4 linked regions of the Arabidopsis thaliana genome follow. Each later gene encodes a partner of the first gene's protein in a complex. Each region holds a gene or a part of one and is shown in the gene's direction. Other genes may lie near its edges. The genes, in order: RPS17, AT3G13120, rps4 and rps15.

The links.
Region 2: RPS17 (region 1) and AT3G13120 share a complex: the UniProt entries of both Arabidopsis thaliana proteins name them as parts of the 30S ribosomal subunit.
Region 3: RPS17 (region 1) and rps4 share a complex: the UniProt entries of both Arabidopsis thaliana proteins name them as parts of the 30S ribosomal subunit.
Region 4: RPS17 (region 1) and rps15 share a complex: the UniProt entries of both Arabidopsis thaliana proteins name them as parts of the 30S ribosomal subunit.

What each region holds. Positions count from the first base shown.
Region 1 is NC_003070.9:30,040,140-30,044,416, reverse strand, and holds RPS17 (ribosomal protein S17), read left to right. Parts: upstream 1-2,464; 5' UTR 2,465-2,494; coding exon 2,495-2,944; 3' UTR 2,945-3,174; downstream 3,175-4,277. Other genes in the region: ROPGEF12 (RHO guanyl-nucleotide exchange factor 12), read left to right, coding at 325-715, 799-953, 1,039-1,113, 1,220-1,483, 1,583-2,245; GL2 (HD-ZIP IV family of homeobox-leucine zipper protein with lipid-binding START domain-containing protein), read right to left, coding at 3,404-3,784, 3,858-3,944, 4,029-4,277. UniProt on the Arabidopsis thaliana protein: One of the primary rRNA binding proteins, it binds specifically to the 5'-end of 16S ribosomal RNA. Required for optimal plastid performance in terms of photosynthesis and growth. Required for the translation of plastid mRNAs.
Region 2 is NC_003074.8:4,218,330-4,224,331, reverse strand, and holds AT3G13120 (Ribosomal protein S10p/S20e family protein), read left to right. Parts: upstream 1-2,684; 5' UTR 2,685-2,805; coding exon 2,806-3,030; intron 3,031-3,182; coding exon 3,183-3,221; intron 3,222-3,710; coding exon 3,711-4,022; 3' UTR 4,023-4,043; exon of another isoform or gene 4,044-4,059; intron 4,060-4,231; 3' UTR 4,232-5,022; downstream 5,023-6,002. Other genes in the region: AT3G13130 (uncharacterized protein), read right to left, coding at 719-1,324.
Region 3 is NC_000932.1:43,738-48,212, reverse strand, and holds rps4 (ribosomal protein S4), read left to right. Parts: upstream 1-2,384; coding exon 2,385-2,990; downstream 2,991-4,475. Other genes in the region: photosystem I assembly protein Ycf3, read left to right, coding at 3,622-3,747, 4,462-4,475. UniProt on the Arabidopsis thaliana protein: One of the primary rRNA binding proteins, it binds directly to 16S rRNA where it nucleates assembly of the body of the 30S subunit. With S5 and S12 plays an important role in translational accuracy.
Region 4 is NC_000932.1:122,375-126,330, reverse strand, and holds rps15 (ribosomal protein S15), read left to right. Parts: upstream 1-2,768; coding exon 2,769-3,035; downstream 3,036-3,956. Other genes in the region: ndhH (NADH dehydrogenase subunit 7), read left to right, coding at 3,139-3,956.

The sequences.
Region 1 (4,277 bases):
TATATGATAACATTTTATAATTTAAACGGCTCTCTATCTCTAATTATCAATGTTCAAAATCCTAAATAATGATTAGTTAAAATTAAGAGGTGTGGTCTGAAACATGCGCCCCACGTCCCATCTTCCAAAAAAAGGAAGCAAAAGAAGAAAGCTCCACAATTTTCTCAAAGCCAAAATCACTGTAACAATTACCCTTTATTGTTTTGCGGCTCGATTAGCTTCTCCTTCCCTTTTGATTCTCCCCATCTCAAGAGAGGCCCATTTGATCCTCTCTCTTTCTCTCTCTCTCCTCTCTAATTCTCTATTGCCATCAAGAGACCAGGAATGGTTCGTGCTTCGGAACAAGAACAGGAAACCTATAGGAGCAGGCTCTTCAATTTCAAATGGAGGAACAACGACAACAATAGTGCTACGAGACACAACAAGAGTCTCAGCGTCGAGACCGGTTTAGATGAGGCTGCCACCGGATCCCATGACGCTGAACCATTGACCATTATTCATCCTAGTCAGGGTCCACCACTTTCAAGATCGGCTGCGGATGAAGCAGTCCTCGCCGCCCTCGCCGCCTCACAGGCTAGAGAAAGGCAGCTTTTGGCAGACATGGAGCAGATGAAAGAGCGCTTCTCCAAGCTGTTGCTGGGAGAGGACAATTCCGGTGGAGGCAAAGGAGTATCCTCTGCTCTCGCCCTTTCAAACGCAATCACAAACCTTGCAGGTTGCTTTAGGACCCTCTTTTGTTATTACACTTAGTTTATATTAACCAGCAACCAATATCTCATGTTTATCTTGTTGGTATAGCTTCCGTGTTCGGAGAGCAACGGCGCTTGGAGCCAATGCCTGCAGAAAGAAGAGCAAGATGGAGAAAAGAGATTGATTGGCTTCTCTCCGTGACCGATTACGTGGTTGAGTTTGCTCCATCTCAGCAGAAAAATAAAGATGGGACCAATATGGAGGTTGTCTATCTGCTGCTGCTGCTGCATTATATTTCATTTGGTAACATACAATGATTCCCTTATTCTGTTGGTATTGATTTAACAGATAATGACCACACGCCAACGTACTGACCTCCACATGAATATCCCCGCATTGAAGAAACTGGACGCCATGCTCATCGTAAGACCTCTCTCTCTCTCTCTCTCGTTGACCAAATATCAACCCTACTTTAATAATTTCATTTAGGATATTCAAAAGCATCCTCTTATCCCCCTTTTCTACCTAGGATTGTCTAGAAAATTTCAAGGACCAAAGCGAGTTCAGCTATATCTCAAAAGACTCCCCTGACTTAGACGGTAAGAGAAACGACGAAAAATGGTGGATTCCGACCGTCAAAGTTCCACCAGATGGTCTATCAGAAGCTTCAAGAAGGTTTTTGCAGTACCAGAAAGATTGTGTAAACCAGGTTCTAAAGGCAGCCATGGCCATAAACGCACAGGTTTTGTTCGAGATGGAGATACCTGAGAGCTACATCGACTCTCTCCCAAAGGTAAAAAAAAAAAAAGACACCAACAATTGATGTTATTGATTAGAAGAGTTGATGAAGAATAATACTCACTTGTTTAGTTTGTAATAAATAAATAAACAGAACGGGAGGGCGAGTCTCGGGGATCAGATGTACAAGAATATAACGGTGGACTTCTTTGACCCGGACCAGTTCCTGAGCAGCATGGACATGTCGTCGGAGCACAAGATCGTGGACCTCAAAAACAGAATCGAGGCATCAATCATTATATGGAAACGCAAAATGGTTTATAAAGACAACAAATCATCGGCACCCTGGGCCTCCGGAGTAAGTCTGGAGAAGCGAGAGGTCTTCGAAGAGCGAGCTGAGACCATTTTGCTCATTCTCAAGCAAAGATACCCCGGGATTTCTCAATCTTCACTCGACATCAGCAAAATCCAGTTCAACGAGGACGTGGGCCAGGCGGTGCTGGAGAGCTACTCGAGAATACTGGAAAGCTTGGCCTACACGGTACTTTCCAGAATCGATGACGTTTTAGAGGCAGATCGAGCGGGGAACAAGAGGAACACGCCATTGGAAGCAGAGGAAGAGACGCTGGTTGGGAGCATGACGCTGTCGGATTTCATGGGATGGGACTTCGATCAGGCCGCGAACGCCGAATTGGAGTCGAAGAAGGATCTACCGGATGATCCGTTGATAAAGGAGAAGCTAAGCGTCGTCACGACCAAGAAGACCTCATACCTCGAAACCCTAGGCGGTGTCAAGAGTCCAACGGCACGGCATTGATATTTGTGTGGAAAATTAGGCGCAAAAAAGAGCGAAGACAGATTTATTGATTATTTAATTATTTTTAGGATTCAAAAACTTTACAAAAGGGCTTTTGTAAATTCCTTTTTATGAAAAGGTGGGCTTTTAAGATTAGGCCCAGTTTATTGTAAAACCCATTTACCATCTGTATACTGTATACATCCCTTCTAAATAGTAGTAGTACTCACCTTATCTTCATTTTCATCGATTCGATTCCAAATCGGAAGGATGATAACGTCGTCCCTAACCTCATCTCTGCAAGCTCTCAAGCTTTCGTCTCCGTTCGCCCATGGCTCCACTCCTCTCTCATCTCTCTCTAAGCCCAATTCCTTCCCGAACCACAGAATGCCCGCTTTAGTTCCGGTCATCAGAGCCATGAAAACGATGCAGGGGCGCGTGGTGTGCGCAACCAGTGACAAGACTGTGGCGGTGGAGGTGGTGAGGCTGGCTCCCCACCCCAAGTACAAGAGGCGCGTGAGGATGAAGAAGAAGTACCAAGCTCACGACCCCGATAATCAGTTCAAGGTTGGCGACGTGGTCAGACTGGAAAAGAGCAGACCCATCAGTAAGACTAAATCATTTGTGGCGCTTCCTGTCATCGCAAGGGCCGCCAGGAAAGCCGAAGCCGGAGGAGATGAACTCCTTGGCCTTCCCTTGGAGTCTCAGCAGCCGGCGTAGAGAATGATTGCTCTTTGTTTCTTTTGGTAAAGCCGTCTTTTTTTTGCTCTGCTTCTGTTTGTTTGTTGTGTATCCCGGAACCAGTGTAATTTATGGAATGCTTTTGTGATTTCATTGCTTATGCCATGAGTGTGTTTTCAATCTGATTGTTTCCGACTACCAATTGTTTGCTCTTACTTCATCTTCACCTCCAGTTACATTTAGAATGTGAATTAATATGTTTCTGTTGCTACTGTGTGCTTGTGGTCTCAGTGATCCGACTTTTGTTTCTGCTAATTCTACGGTTCTTGCTCCTCTTGTTATGGTTCATTTGCCAATGGAATGGACCAAAAAGGTGTTGGATAATAATAGGATTGGAGAAGAGAGAGCTGGTCGTTTTTGTACAAAACTTTAATGCACTGCTGCTATACATTATCATATAATTATATATAGGTAAATAATATCTGCTGTGACTTGTCATCAGCAATCTTCGATTTGTAGACTTCTCTTAATGTTGTGTAGTGTGACTGAGACGAGGTTTGTCACGGATTCCACAGACTCCATATTCAGCTTTGCTGCAGGAGAAGGGTTGATGAGGGTTTGGAGGGCGAGTGTCAGGAGCGACCCTCCTTGGCTGTTTCTGTCGTCTTGTGTAGACGTTATTACCAGTGGCCGTGACTCTACTCCATCAGGTATGATTGAGAATCCAGAGGGGAGGATTTGGATGTTGCTTGGATCATGTCCCGCGAGCACCAGCTGTGTCGTGTTTATATCTACGGGAGCGTATACCACCACCGACTCATACGAGTTAGTGCTGCTGTCTTGCAGCACCCATATGCTCTTTTCTCTCGATTTCACTGTCTGGAAATGTATAGAAATTCAGATTATCAAGGCCTAGACAGATTTAGAGGAGGAGAAGACAAAATAAACGCACCTGGATTGCCACTGAGTTGCCTCTGTCTTGTCCCTTGGATAAGTTTGCAATAGACTGAACATGAGCTCCGTTTGACAAAGCATCCCACTGATGATATGTATCGTTAGATAAATATATGAGTGGAAACCGCTTTTCTTGTTTGCTTAAATGTGTGTGAATTTGACAAGGTACCTCATGCCGACGAGCTTCATCTCTAAAGAAATCGAAGAGAAGAGCTGGAGAAACAGGTAACCACAGCGAAGAAGAAGCGCAGACAATGACTCCCGTGGGCTCGCCAGGATCATGAAGGTTCTTCCTGGAAGAAACCCGCATGTCTTGTCCAGTTTTGGTGGTGATTTTGGTCCATTGATGGTAGCTTGATGCAGCAATGGCGCGGTAGAAGCTTTGTGTCATTCTCTGAGCCATCTTCAGCACACTCTT
Region 2 (6,002 bases), on another chromosome or scaffold:
AAGAATACGTAATAACATTGATAAATGCGTATGTACATTTTACTTTTACCAAACCCATGATCAATTTAAAGAAATCTATACGTACTGTTCAAGCTTGGAATCATGGTACCGGATGTTCTGTTGGCCACGGAATCAGCAAAAGTTATCAGATCAAGAAAATTAAACATTTTAAAAATCAACTATAGCCAAGAAATAGAAAAAAATGGCTCAATCCATCACATATCATGTTTACACGAAAGTACATCATCTCCTAAAAGACATATAGAATTAGGAATATCCATCATACGTTTTTCTTTGACATTGAAAATTCATTATATGCAAAGGTATACACGTGTGCATGCACGGACAGCATTATTCCCCCGAAACTATCGGGTGTAGACAACACACCGCTAAAAACATGTAGTACATCAGTCTAGCCTATAGAACTAATAATGGAGTTCGATATGAAATATGTAAACATATAATTTTGTATGTATATGATCATATTGTAGTTTAATCGTATTTGACGAGTTTCATTTTTGCATAATATATACGAGGTAACAATTTTCAAGAAAAAGTGTAACGCGAGAGAATTACTTAGATTTAAAAAGGATTCCATTAAAAGAGATGCTTACAGAGGCTAGGAGGATGTAGAAGAAGCTAGAAAACGTAACTCGCTCTCTATATGAGCAAATTGCGTTTGATTAAACTTAAACAAAACTGATTAATTAGAAAGTACTCAAACAAGGATTAAATGCCGTTTAGCTTCGATTCTAAGCTCTTCCTTCATCTTTCTGATGAACTCGTCGAATTTCTTATTCATCTCCTCCTCCGTCGATGTCATCACTCCTACGTTCCCTTCTTCTTCCTCGTTTATAGATCCGCCACGAAGACCACACTCTTCCTCTCCATCATTATCTGCTAATGTGTTGTCGTCGTCATCTTCTTCTTCGTTGTCCTCGGTTTCTTGATGTTTTGTATCTTCCTCCACTGTAACTTCCTCTGCAAGAAAGGACTCTGTTCCTATTCCATGATCAGATTTATACTCTAGCTCCAGTATCGTAGTGTAACTCTCGAAATCTCCATAATCAAAGGTTTTATCGGTATTACTCCAAATTTTCTCTATTGGTTTGGACGAAGCGACCAAACCAGAACACTTAGCAACAACCACTACGAGACCATTGCAGAGGAGGAACATGTAGTTTTTATCTACTGCGTGTGTTACGAGTTGGATCATGAACCTATATAAATAGAAGTCGTGGCTGGTTAAAAGAGATAAAATCCACATCGAAACTGCTATAAACTTGGTCAATTTCTTCAGAAACTCCGGTTTTATTTGATCCATCTCTCTGGTTTCTTTTCTTTGGTTTTGTGAGTGAATGGTGAGGACTAGAATAAGAAGAAGAAGAAGAAGGAATTAAACAGGTTAAAGTGTAATTGTGCAAAGCGTTACACTACACTCAACGGCTTTGGTATTTATAGAATTTAAGCCAAAGGCAATGGGCATCTGTGGATGATTTTACCAAACCACCCCTTGTTCTGAAGCTGCATGGCTGCATGCCACGTGTGAAGTGTGATTTCCCAGTTATGTGGATAAAAAAAAGTCTCTGTGTTTCTTCTATTGTTTGTTTGTCAACTAATCCATGTTTTCTTATGTCCTATTATTGGTTACATTGCGAAACGACCTCTGGTTAGTGTTCCAAAAGTTCCGAATCTTTTATGACCTCTGATGGAATTCGGATTTTTTTTCTTTTTATATCATCAAGCTATACATGATGACTTAGCTTTTATGGTATGTTAATGGTAAAGGAATATGACTTTTAAGTCATGTATAGCTTGATGATATATATAAAAAAAAATACTCATGATTGAGACAAATACAAACGGAATAGTAAGGGATGATTGGTCTTTGAATAGTGTGAGGGCTTGTGGACAATAATATTTAGAAGATGTCATTGTCTTTTATGTCTTTGATTGGTTTAAGTCATTTTCCTTCTTTAAATTGCATGGATTTGGCGACATCATTATGTTAATTGTTAGGCTTCTTCTACATGTATTTTGCTTTTATTAAAAAAAAATTATACTTGAACTACGCTAACACCTTATATTTCCGTGTGAGATTATGGATCACACATTTGAAGGTATATATTTACAGATTATGGATCACACAATTACAGATAAAATTAAGAACAATGCATTTAAAAGTCAAAAATCAAAACTACGGAATCCTTCCTTGATATTATTGTCTTTTGTATTCAAATTAATATTATTTTATGAGTTTGTATTATTTCATCGAATATTTATATTGTCCATTTTTTTCCACATTCATTGCATATTTTCATGGGGTTTTGTTTGTCAAGTAGTTCATTTTGTCTTCCACTTTTCTTAAATTTTCCATCTACTTCACGAATGTTTGTGTGTTGAATTTTCCAAAAGATATTTATGAGATACAAAAGAATCTTCTAAAGACAGATCACAATCCACAAGAAAGAAAATACCGAAAGACAAATGAATCATATTTTACTAGGTTAGAATATTTTTGGTCCCCAAAAGAACTATAAAATATGGGCCTAATGGGTACTTTTGGTCCCTAACAGAAACTATACAATTTGGGCCTAATGGGTATTCATTTATAATAAGCGTAGGCCTTTTAATGAATTAATGGGCTTAGAATAAATAATATCTCATCATTTAAAAAAGAGAGAAAAAGGTTTTGGATAAAATGGATAACCCTCAAGAAGAAGCTGCTGAAGAAGAAACCTCATCCTTCGAACGTTAAGAGGAAGAAGAATAAGAGAAATCGATTCGTGGTTTTGGGAAAATTCAATGGCGGTTTCTACTGTATCGTCGTTTCTATTGCCATCTTTCGGCATTCCAAGCTCTTCGCCTTCTTCTACCAGACTCAAAGTCTCTCTGCTGCCTTCATCTTCTACCCATGGCGGCCTTAGTTCCTGCGTCCTTACGAAACCATCCGTCTCGCTTACGAAGGTCTTCGCTGTTCCCGATACCCTAGATCCAACTCCAGAAATTCTCGATGAACCCGCCTCTGAGGTACACTCTTTCCTCTGTCAGTCTCGGATTCGATTGTTTGCAGAGCTAATGCGAAATTTGGGGGGGGGGGGGGAAAGACATTGTTTTGCAGAATCATTTAGCACTTTGATGTTAATTCTGTTAATAATAGTCTTTGTGTCTGTGTGATTCAGGTTCCGAGCTCTTCATCCATCAGTGTAGACGCGGATAAGGTATATTCCGTTACTGTTACAGCTCACTTACTAGAATACAGATTTTACGAGTACTTGTGCATTGGTGTGTTCTAAATTCTGTGTCCATCTTCGTCAAAACAGTAGACTTTTTTGCTTTACTACGTTTTCACAGCGCTAAAAAGTATCATATCTGTTCTAACACCAATGCCCATTGCTGTGTTAGAGGTCACTGCTAGAAATTGATACGCAAATTTTCAAATTTGATGTCTTCAATGTCTATCTTTGTCAGATCAATAGACTTCTTTGGTTTACTACGTTTTTTCAGAGCGATAAAGAGTCTCATTTGTGTGAAATGCCTTCAAGTAGATATCATCTTGTATATACAGGAAAGGAGAAGTAATTGTATAGAAATCTTGATCGTCTTTAGATGGTATCTTCATAAGATTTGCCACAATAGAGTTTTGTTTTAAGGGGTCTTGTGGAGTTTCATTGTGTTTGGTTTAATTTGATTTATTTTTGTGTTATCAGATGGCGCCAAAGCAAAAGATTAGGATCAAGCTTAGATCATACTGGGTGCCTCTTATTGAGGACTCATGCAAGCAGATACTTGATGCTGCGAGAAACACCAATGCAAAGACGATGGGTCCTGTTCCATTGCCAACCAAGAAGCGTATCTACTGTGTTCTCAAGTCTCCTCACGTTCACAAGGATGCTAGGTTCCATTTTGAAATCCGGACACACCAGCGCATGATTGATATTCTCTACCCGACTGCTCAAACTATCGATTCTTTGATGCAACTTGATCTTCCTGCTGGTGTCGATGTGGAAGTGAAGCTCTGAAGAAGAAGCGTAACTACAATGGTAACAAACAAAAAAAGTGATCTCTCTTCTTAATGGTTTTTGAATATTGATGTGTCTTAGCTACTGAAACTGCACATAGGCTCCAATATTTATCCTCAAAAACAAAACTTCATCAAATTACAATCTTTCTCTGTTGACCATCAAGATCTTGATGCTTGTTCTTAACCAAAGTGTTTTTTCTTCCTCAGATGTGATGGGCACTTTTGCATTGAATGAACAGACTGTTTCAGATCAACTACATTGCTTAGAACTGGTAAGCCTTGTATCATCTTTTTTGAGAACCTTTGTAACGAAAATGTAAGTTGTATTATCTGGTCCTTGGAATCTATCTTTAGCGATGCTTGGTTCTTAGTTGATGAACATATCCTTAATTAAGCAAGTTCAAAGGAATTTGTTTTTGTTTTACTAATTGTTATGCAGTTTGCCTGTGTCCATTATGATAAGTTTTTTTATTTTTGTTGTATTCAAAGTGGAATCTTTTTTTTGAATATAAGTATTATAGTAGTATTATAGTAGGAATAAGAAGATGCACAACTTGAGTTATTTTAAAACCAGGAGGTTGGAATCTTGAAAGCGACTTCATTATTATAATAAACGTATAAGTTCGTTTATCCACAAACTCAATAGGGAAATTATAATTTTTTGTCACAACACATTTCATTTATCAATTATCCTCTAGACTCAGTTCGTCTCTTTTCTTAGCAGCCAATTAAAACCTGCAAGTGTTGTTTTACCAGTCTTTCCTTTCCAAGCTTACGAAACGATCCAAGGGAAAAAACAGTAATGGTTTCGAATTTATGTCTGATAAGTCGATGGCGCTTTTTCTTATCTAATTTGGAATTTTGGATGATGCAGAAATTGTCAACCCCCCAATATTATAAAGTTGAAGAATATTCTTTTCCATGTTCAATCATACACACAACTATATCATTATTTTAATCATATGAAATGGTTTTTGGTATAGTAAGAAGTGGTTCATTGTAAGATAATGTCTTGACCAAAGAAGAAAGAAAACGAATAGTCGCCAAAATTGAATTTGGTTTAAGTAGATGAGACAATGATGTGGCGGTTTATAATAGTCGTTAAAGTTAAGGCATATTCCCACGATATACCAACATGGACCGTCCATTATTATTTATTTTGATTATAGTTTGTTCTCAAAAACACTCGAATAAATTGCTTTTTTTTTTCACAGCATTACTGAAATCATACATAATTTCTGCTTCCATAATCTTATATTTTACGAGATCGGTTTTATGATAAACTTTCAAGTAGTACCATTATGGGTTGTATTTTCTTTTACTACCATTTTGGGTTTATTGCAATTTGCATAAACATATTCAAAACTATTTTGCGTTCAACCAAATGGTTAAACTCTGGTTCATATTGATATACCAAAACACTCATATTGGATCAAATATGTAAGGTGATAATAACACTGATATGAACTAGTATACTATGTCTTATGAGTCACTATTTTCTCTAACTTTAATAAAAGTTTAGCTGTGATTCATTATTCGTGATTATGGTATCCTCATATCAGAATTGCTTTGTTCTAATTCAGTCTTATTGTTCACTAATCCTGATCGAAAATACATGGCCACATTAGAAGCATCAAACAAACAGGGTTTTATGTTTTCCACACTCGAAGAGACAATATTTTCAACGGCTGAAACTGAAAGGAAACAAAATATAATTTTAAGACAAAAAAAAAAGAAAAGAAAACATATATTTCTTCTTTTGGTTGTAGTATTTTGAGACCTCACTGATTGTCGGAAAATAATTGGAGGGGTTCCCACTGATTTTGAATTTCTGTAATACCAATTGTTTGTTTTATTAGAAAACAACACCTTCAATTTGTATTTTCCCCTTGTTGTTTGGGATGGCAGTTACTTAAATAAAATATTTATCTAAAACCCATCGAAGAAATTGATTCTAAACATAACAAATAGTTATTTT
Region 3 (4,475 bases), on another chromosome or scaffold:
TTTTCAGTCCTCTGCTCTACCAACTGAGCTATCCCGGCGAAGGATCATCCTCGTTTTACGAATGGTGGCACAACGATTTCAAGTCCCCCGGAAAAAAGCTATGTCCACCATTAGTCTACTGAAGTATCAAGTATCATCTACTGAAGTATCATGCTCGTTTTCCTAATGGTGACACGAGGATTTCGAGTCCTCTGCAAAAAAGCTATGTCTACCTTTACTGAAGGATCATTATCATGTGACACAGGGATTTTAAGTCCCCCGCAATTAAGCTATGCCGACCATTACTGAGGTATCATCTACTGAAGTATCATCTTGCTTTTACTAATGGTGACATAAGGATTTTCAGTCCTCTACTAATGGTGACATAAGGATTTTCAGTCCTCTGCAACTAAGCTATGTCGACCATTACCGAAGGATCATCTTGCTTTTACTAATGGTGACACAAGGATTTTCAGTCCCCCGCAATTAAGCTATGTGTACCATTACCGAAGTATAATCTACTGAAGTATCAGTATCATTTTAATATATGACTTAGGTCTATGTCAATGAAAAGAAACTCAAAAGTAGTAAATTCAAAAAGTTGTGGACCGGGAATTTCTTGGATTTTATAAATAAAAGAAGACTTTCTAAGTTTGAAAATGAAAAATGATATAGATTATAAATAATTCAAATAAATAATAACGAAAAAAAGGTAAGGTGTCAACCTTTTCGGGGAGTAGAGCTGGGGATAGAGGGACTTGAACCCTCACGATTTTAAAAGTCAACGGATTTTCATCTTACTATAAATTTCATTGTTGTCAGTATTGACATGTAAAATGGGACTCTATCTTTATTCTCGTCCGATTAATTAAGTTCCATCAAGGATCTATCAGACTATGAAGTGAATAATTTTATTTTAATCAAGAAATATTATTTCTTAAACTTCGAATTGATTCACAACATTTTGATTTTGTTTATAAAAAAATAGAAATCGAGATTCAGGTCGTCATTTTTGAGATCGTTTTGTGTTACCTAAATTTATACAATATAGGTTTTTATCCTTCATCCTTTTTGATTTGAAGTTTCGATCGAAGGATTCCTTTATGAACACAAGGTAGTGAACTCCATTTGTTAGAACAGCTTCCATTGAGTCTCTGCACCTATCCCTTTTTTCGCGCTTTGTAAACTCCGGTTTGTTCGCGTAAACCAGGATTTGGCTCAGGATTGCCCATTGTTAATTCCAGGGTTTCTCTGAATTTGAAAGTTATCACTTAGTAGGTTTCCATACCAAGGCTCAATCCAATTAAGTCCGTAGCGTCTACCAATTCCGCCATATCCCCTTTTTTAGGATCTCATTATGATGTCTTTCCTTTTTTTTCTTATGCCGAAACCTCGGGATTCATTACATTATAGATACTTATTTTATGTCTTTGTTATCTTCTTTTATTTTTTTGAGCTCCATCCATATTGATTTAGTCTAATCAACAAAGATTCTATCATTTTTGTATTTGCAATTCAATATGGTTATATATTACATAACATATATATGTTCTTTTTTTTTTCATCTTTGGCTTAAATTTTCAGAAATAGTCGAACGGTCGATTCTTTTTTTTTTTTTTACTTTCATGAAAAGAAATTTATTATTATTATTATTGAAACTTAGAATTCTACAATGTGCAATGGAAAAAAATTATAAGTCTACTTCGTAAATTTGAAATTCTAATAATTCTATACTATTCTATGACTATATAGATATATATATAGAATTAAGGTTATGTTTTATTTATTTAATGATGAATGATAGTCACTATTTATGTGAGCTATATTCTGTTCTAGAATATATAGAATATCATTAATTCTAACTAGATAAGGAAAAATATTAATAGAATAGTTAATTGATACGATCTAGTAGTTTAGTGAATTTGTATGCATGCGCTATTTTATTTGAGCCCGCTTAGCTCAGAGGTTAGAGCATCGCATTTGTAATGCGATGGTCATCGGTTCGATTCCGATAGCCGGCTTTTCCATATTTTTTCGTTTTTTTTTACATGATTTTTAATGTACTTTCAAAATCAAAGAAGATTGAAAAGACTTCTTTGACCTTTTTCCAAGAGTTACCACTCCATTTATATTATGTCATATAAACTTCCATATTAGGAATATATATTGGGTAAAAGAGTTTGATCTTTGCAAAATTAATCAAGAAAATAAAGGAAAATTTTTGTGATTTAGTTGATTTATATATATTGTATATACAATAAAAAAAATCTGTATATTGAGAGAATATATCTTCTTACTCTTTGTATTCCAATAGTGGAGTGTATTTCACGTCATTTATCATTATCATTTAGTTCAGTTTTAATTTTATTTAGTTTTGTACAATTTCAATCAAAAAAGGAGTCTTTATGTCACGTTACCGAGGGCCTCGTTTTAAAAAAATACGCCGTCTGGGGGCTTTACCGGGACTAACTAGTAAAAGGCCTAAGGCAGGAAGCGATCTTAGAAACCAATCACGCTCCGTAAAAAAATCTCAATATCGTATTCGTTTAGAAGAAAAACAAAAATTGCGTTTTCATTATGGTCTTACAGAACACCAATTACTTAAATATGTGCGTATAGCCGGAAAAGCCAAGGGGTCAACAGGTCAAGTTTTACTACAATTACTTGAAATGCGTTTGGATAACATCCTTTTTCGATTGGGTATGGCTTTGACTATTCCTCAAGCGCGCCAATTAGTTAATCATGGACATATTTTAGTTAATGGTCGTATAGTTGATATACCAAGTTATCGCTGCAAACCCCGAGATATTATTACAGTGAAGGATGAACAAAACTCTAGAACTTTGGTTCAAAATCTTCTTGATTCATCTGCCCCTGAGGAATTGCCAAACCATCTGACTCTTCACACATTCCAATATGAAGGGTTAGTCAATCAAATAATAGATAGGAAATGCGTCGGTTTGAAAATAAATGAATTGCTTGTCGTAGAATATTACTCTCGACAGACTTAATAAACCTAACTTAAGTAAAAAAAAAAATTACTAAAAACAAGAGTTCGGACAACTCCCCTTTTCCATTAAAAATAAAAAGGCACAAGGTAAGGGATTTTGTCAAAGAATATTTTTCCTATTCATGTATCATAGATTGGTAGGGAGATTGGGATCCCTTGTTTGCTCTTCCCAGCATTTTCCATATGAAAGAAATTAGGAATAGAGAATCTATTTCAAAATCAAAACAAGGTAGATCTTATATCGATTCTTTTTTATTGGATTTGATACATTGTGGTCAATCACGTAAGATTGGTGAATTTGTTGAAAGTACGGAAAGAGAGGGATTCGAACCCTCGGTAAACAAAAGTCTACATAACAGTTCCAATGTTACGCCTTCAACCACTCGGCCATCTCTCCGACATCAAGATTATGACTGAGTATCTGGGTGAATAGCGAGTTATTCATCGTTTTTTAGATTATGGTTAATAGATACCCTTTTTGACCGGAAAATTTGGAAGTAGATAGAAGGTTTTTTTTAATGAGTCCGCTTTTATGTTAGTTCGTACTATACAATTCCTTTGTTTGTGAGAAAATTTTCTCACAAAAGAAAAGGTAAAGGAAATAAAAAGAGTTAGAGAATGGATTACTACCTATGCCAAGATCGCGTATAAATGGAAATTTTATTGATAAAACCTTTACAATTGTAGCCGATATCTTATTACGAGTCATTCCGACAACTTCCGGAGAAAAAGAGGCATTTACTTATTACAGAGATGGTGCGATTTGATTATCATTATTTTTTTTCTCGCCGATTTTGATTGGAATAGAAAGAAAAACGAGTATTGAAAAAAAATCTACGCTTTTGAAGGTGAAGTTTATAATATAAAAAAAACAATCCCTTCTGTCATGTATCCACGATTAATGCAGCCTTAGATGCTTCAATTGTGAATTATAGTATTGAGCAAAAGGTTTTTACCTATGGTTCCCGTATTACAGATCAATCCTACTACACTAATACAATATACGAATAGGAGGCATAGGGGAAGAAGCACTACGCCGAGAAATCAACAACACGAAAACTTTCTTAAAAATGATTCCCTTTCTTCTTCTTCGTTGGGATTGGGACTAATTAAAATGGTTGGAACAATAAACATCCATCTCGTTCGTATTTTGGATACCCGTATAACCATTGAAGACTGTTGAAGTGACTAATTCCTGGAAACTTAGGGGCGTTGAGAACAAAGAAATTTTTAGAGTTTCCTTTTTTATTTTTATCTAGCATGAACCCACTTGGTAGTAAGAAAAGATCTTTTGCAAGAAGGTTGGCTAGGGATTTCTTGTAAAAACATTAGCCCCGCTTAGTTCATAATGACATCACATTTTTACATATATTATTTTCATTATGCACCTAAAGGAGGAGCCGTATGAGATGAAAATCTCACATACGGTTCTGAAACGGAGAGTTCGTTAAAGCGAATGACGACCGTAACGGATGTCGGCTCAATC
Region 4 (3,956 bases), on another chromosome or scaffold:
GAGAAATATATGAATTAAATGAACCTAAAAAAGATTCAATAATAAGTAATCAGATGATTCATGAACTATCTGTTCAAAATAAATCCTTGGAGTGGACAAATTCTTCACTTAGCGAAAAAAAAATCAAAAATTTGATTGATAGAAAAAAGACAATCAGAAATCAAATAGAAGAAATTTCAAAAGAAAAACAAAACTTAACTAATAGTTGTACCAAACTGCGTTATGATTCTAAAATAATTGAGTCATCAAAAAAAATTTGGCAGACATTCAAAAGAAAAAATACCCGATTAATTCGTAAATCCATTTTTTTTTTTAAATTTTGCATCGAACAAATGTCTATAGCTATTTTTCTAGGTATCATTAATATTCCAAGAATTACTACACAACTTTTTTTTGAATCAACAAAAAAAATTCTTGATAAATATATTTACAAGAATGAAGAAAATGGAGAAAAAAAAAAAAATACTCTTTATTTTATTTCGACTATAAAAAATTTAATATCCAATAAAAAAAAAATGAGTTATGACCTATGCTCTTTATCACAAGCATATGTATTTTACAAATTATCACAAATTAAAGTTAGTAACTTTTGTAAATTAAAGGCTGTTCTTGAATATAACATATGCATAACATCCTTTTTTGTTAAGAATAAAATAAAGGTTTTTTTTCAAGAACACGGAATCTTTCATTATGAATTGAAAAATAAAACCTTTTTGAATTCCGAAGTAAATCAATGGAAAAACTGGTTACGAAGTCAGTATCAATACAATTTACCCCAGATTTCATGGGCTAGATTAGTAACCCAAAATTGGAAAAATAAAATAAATAAAGATTCTCTAGTTCTAAACCCAAGTTTAACCAAAGAGGATTCATATGAAAAAAAGAAATTTGATAATTATAAAAAACAAAAATTTTTTGAGGCCGACTCATTATTAAATCCAAAACATAATGTAAAAAAAGATTCTATATATAATCTTTTTTGCTATAAATCTATTCATTCTACAGAAAAAAATTTTGACATGTCTATAGGCATTGCCCTAGATAATTGTTTAGTCTCTTCTTTTCTAGAAAAATATAATATTCGGGGTATGGGGGAAATTCGGCATAGAAAATATTTGGATTGGAGAATTCTTAACTTTTGGTTTACAAAAAAAGTAACTATTGAGCCTTGGGTTGATACTAAGAGTAAAAAAAAATATATTAATACTAAAGTTCAGAATTATCAAAAAATTGATAAAATAACGCAGACGGATCTTGCTAATAAAAAAAGAAACTTTTTTGATTGGATGGGAATGAATGAAGAAATACTAAATCAGCGTATAACAAATTTTGAATTTTTTTTCTTTCCGGAATTTTTCTTATTTTCTAGTACATATAAAATGAAACCATGGGTCATACCAATCAAATTACTTCTTTTAAATTTTAATGAAAACATAAATGTTAATAAAAAGATCATTCGAAAGAAAAAAGGTTTTATACCATCAAATGAAAAAGAATCCCTTCGATTTTATAATCTGAATAAAGAAGAAAAAGAATCGGCCGGTCAAGTAGAACTTGAATCAGATAAAGAAACAAAAAGAAATCCCGAAGCAGCTCGATTAAACCAAGAAAAAAATATTGAAGAAAATTTTGCAGAATCAACAATAAAAAAACGTAAAAATAAAAAACAATACAAAAGTAATACAGAAGCGGAACTTGATTTATTTCTGACAAGATATTCGCGTTTTCAATTGCGATGGAATTGTTTTTTTAATCAAAAAATTCTCAATAATGTAAAAGTATACTGTCTCTTGGTTAGACTAAACAATCCAAACGAAATAGCGGTATCTTCTATTGAAAGAGGAGAGATGAGCCTAGACATTCTAATGATTGAGAAAAATTTCACTTTTGCAAAATTAATGAAAAAAGGAATATTGATTATTGAACCTGTGCGTTTGTCTGTACAAAACGATGGACAACTTATTATATATAGAACCATAGGTATTTCATTGGTTCATAAAAATAAACACAAAATAAGTAAAAGATACAAAAAAAAAAGCTATATTAATAAAAAATTTTTTGAAAAATCCATTACAAAATATCAAAACAAAACTGTAAATAAAAAAAAAAATAATTATGATTTCTTTGTCCCTGAAAAAATTCTATCCCCTAAACGACGTAGAGAATTTCGAATTCTAATTTGTTTCAACTTAAAAAAAAAAAATGCTAGGGATACAAATTCAAGATTTGATAAGAATATTCAAAACTTGACCACCGTTTTGCATAAAAAGAAAGATCTTGATCTTGATAAGGATAAAAATAACTTAATTAATTTAAAATCCTTTCTTTGGCCCAATTTTAAATTAGAAGATTTAGCTTGTATGAATCGCTATTGGTTTAATACTACTAACGGAAATCATTTCAGTATGATAAGAATACGCATGTATACGCGATTTCCAATTCCTTAATCATAAATACTTTTTACTATATATAATAAGTTACGGTATATGAAAACAACTATATGCACAAATATGAGGGATTGTTTTAAATTAAATCTTTATACATGAGATTAATTTAATCAATCACATAGATACCAATTATAGCGGATTCATAAATAAATTAACAGAATCCTTCTTTTTGAGATCTAAATTTAGATTTTTTTCTAAAATGAAGAATTAAGAGGTTGATAATTAAATTAAGATCCTTGTACAAAAAAACTACCATTATTATTACTGATCAGTAAAATTAATATCTTTCAATTCATATTAAAAGGGGAAGGATTTCTTTTTATGATAAAAAATATAGTCATTTCATTTGAAGAACAAAAAGAAGAAAGCAGGGGATCCGTTGAATTTCAAGTATTTAGTTTCACTAATAAGATACGAAGACTTACTTCACATTTGGAATTGCACAGAAAAGATTATTTATCTCAGCGGGGTCTACGAAAAATTCTGGGAAAACGTCAACGACTGCTGGCTTATTTGTCAAAAAAAAATAGAGTACGTTATAAAGAATTAATTAATCAGTTGAATATTCGGGAATTAAAAACTCGTTAAATTCAAAAATTGTGAATTAGTGAATTTTTTAGATCTTGAATTTTTTGATAAACTTCTTTATTCAGAAATCTAATTCATGCCAGAACGAATCAAGGAAAAACTTATGAAGAGACCAGTTACAGGAAAAGATCTTATGATAGTCAATATGGGACCTCACCACCCATCCATGCATGGTGTTCTTCGCTTAATTGTTACTCTAGATGGTGAGGATGTTGTTGACTGTGAACCCATATTAGGTTATTTACACAGAGGAATGGAAAAAATTGCAGAAAACCGAGCAATTATACAATATTTACCGTATGTAACGCGATGGGATTATTTAGCTACTATGTTTACAGAAGCAATAACAGTAAATGGACCAGAACAATTGGGAAATATTCAAGTTCCTAAAAGGGCCAGCTATATCAGAGTAATTATGCTGGAATTGAGTCGTATAGCTTCTCATCTGTTATGGCTCGGCCCTTTTATGGCAGATATTGGTGCACAGACTCCCTTTTTCTATATTTTCAGAGAACGAGAATTTGTATATGATCTATTCGAAGCTGCCACCGGTATGAGAATGATGCATAATTTTTTTCGTATTGGAGGAATAGCGGCTGATTTACCTTATGGTTGGATAGATAAATGCTTGGATTTTTGTGATTATTTTTTAACAGAGGTTGTTGAATATCAAAAACTCATTACACGAAATCCTATTTTTTTAGAACGGGTTGAAGGAGTTGGGATTATTGGTGGGGAAGAAGCAATAAATTGGGGTTTATCCGGACCAATGCTACGCGCATCCGGAATACCATGGGATCTTCGTAAAATTGATCGTTATGAGTCTTACGATGAATTTGAATGGGAAATTCAATGGCAAAAACAAGGAGATTCATTAGCTCGTTATTTAGTACGACTTAGCGAAATGACAGAATCCATAAA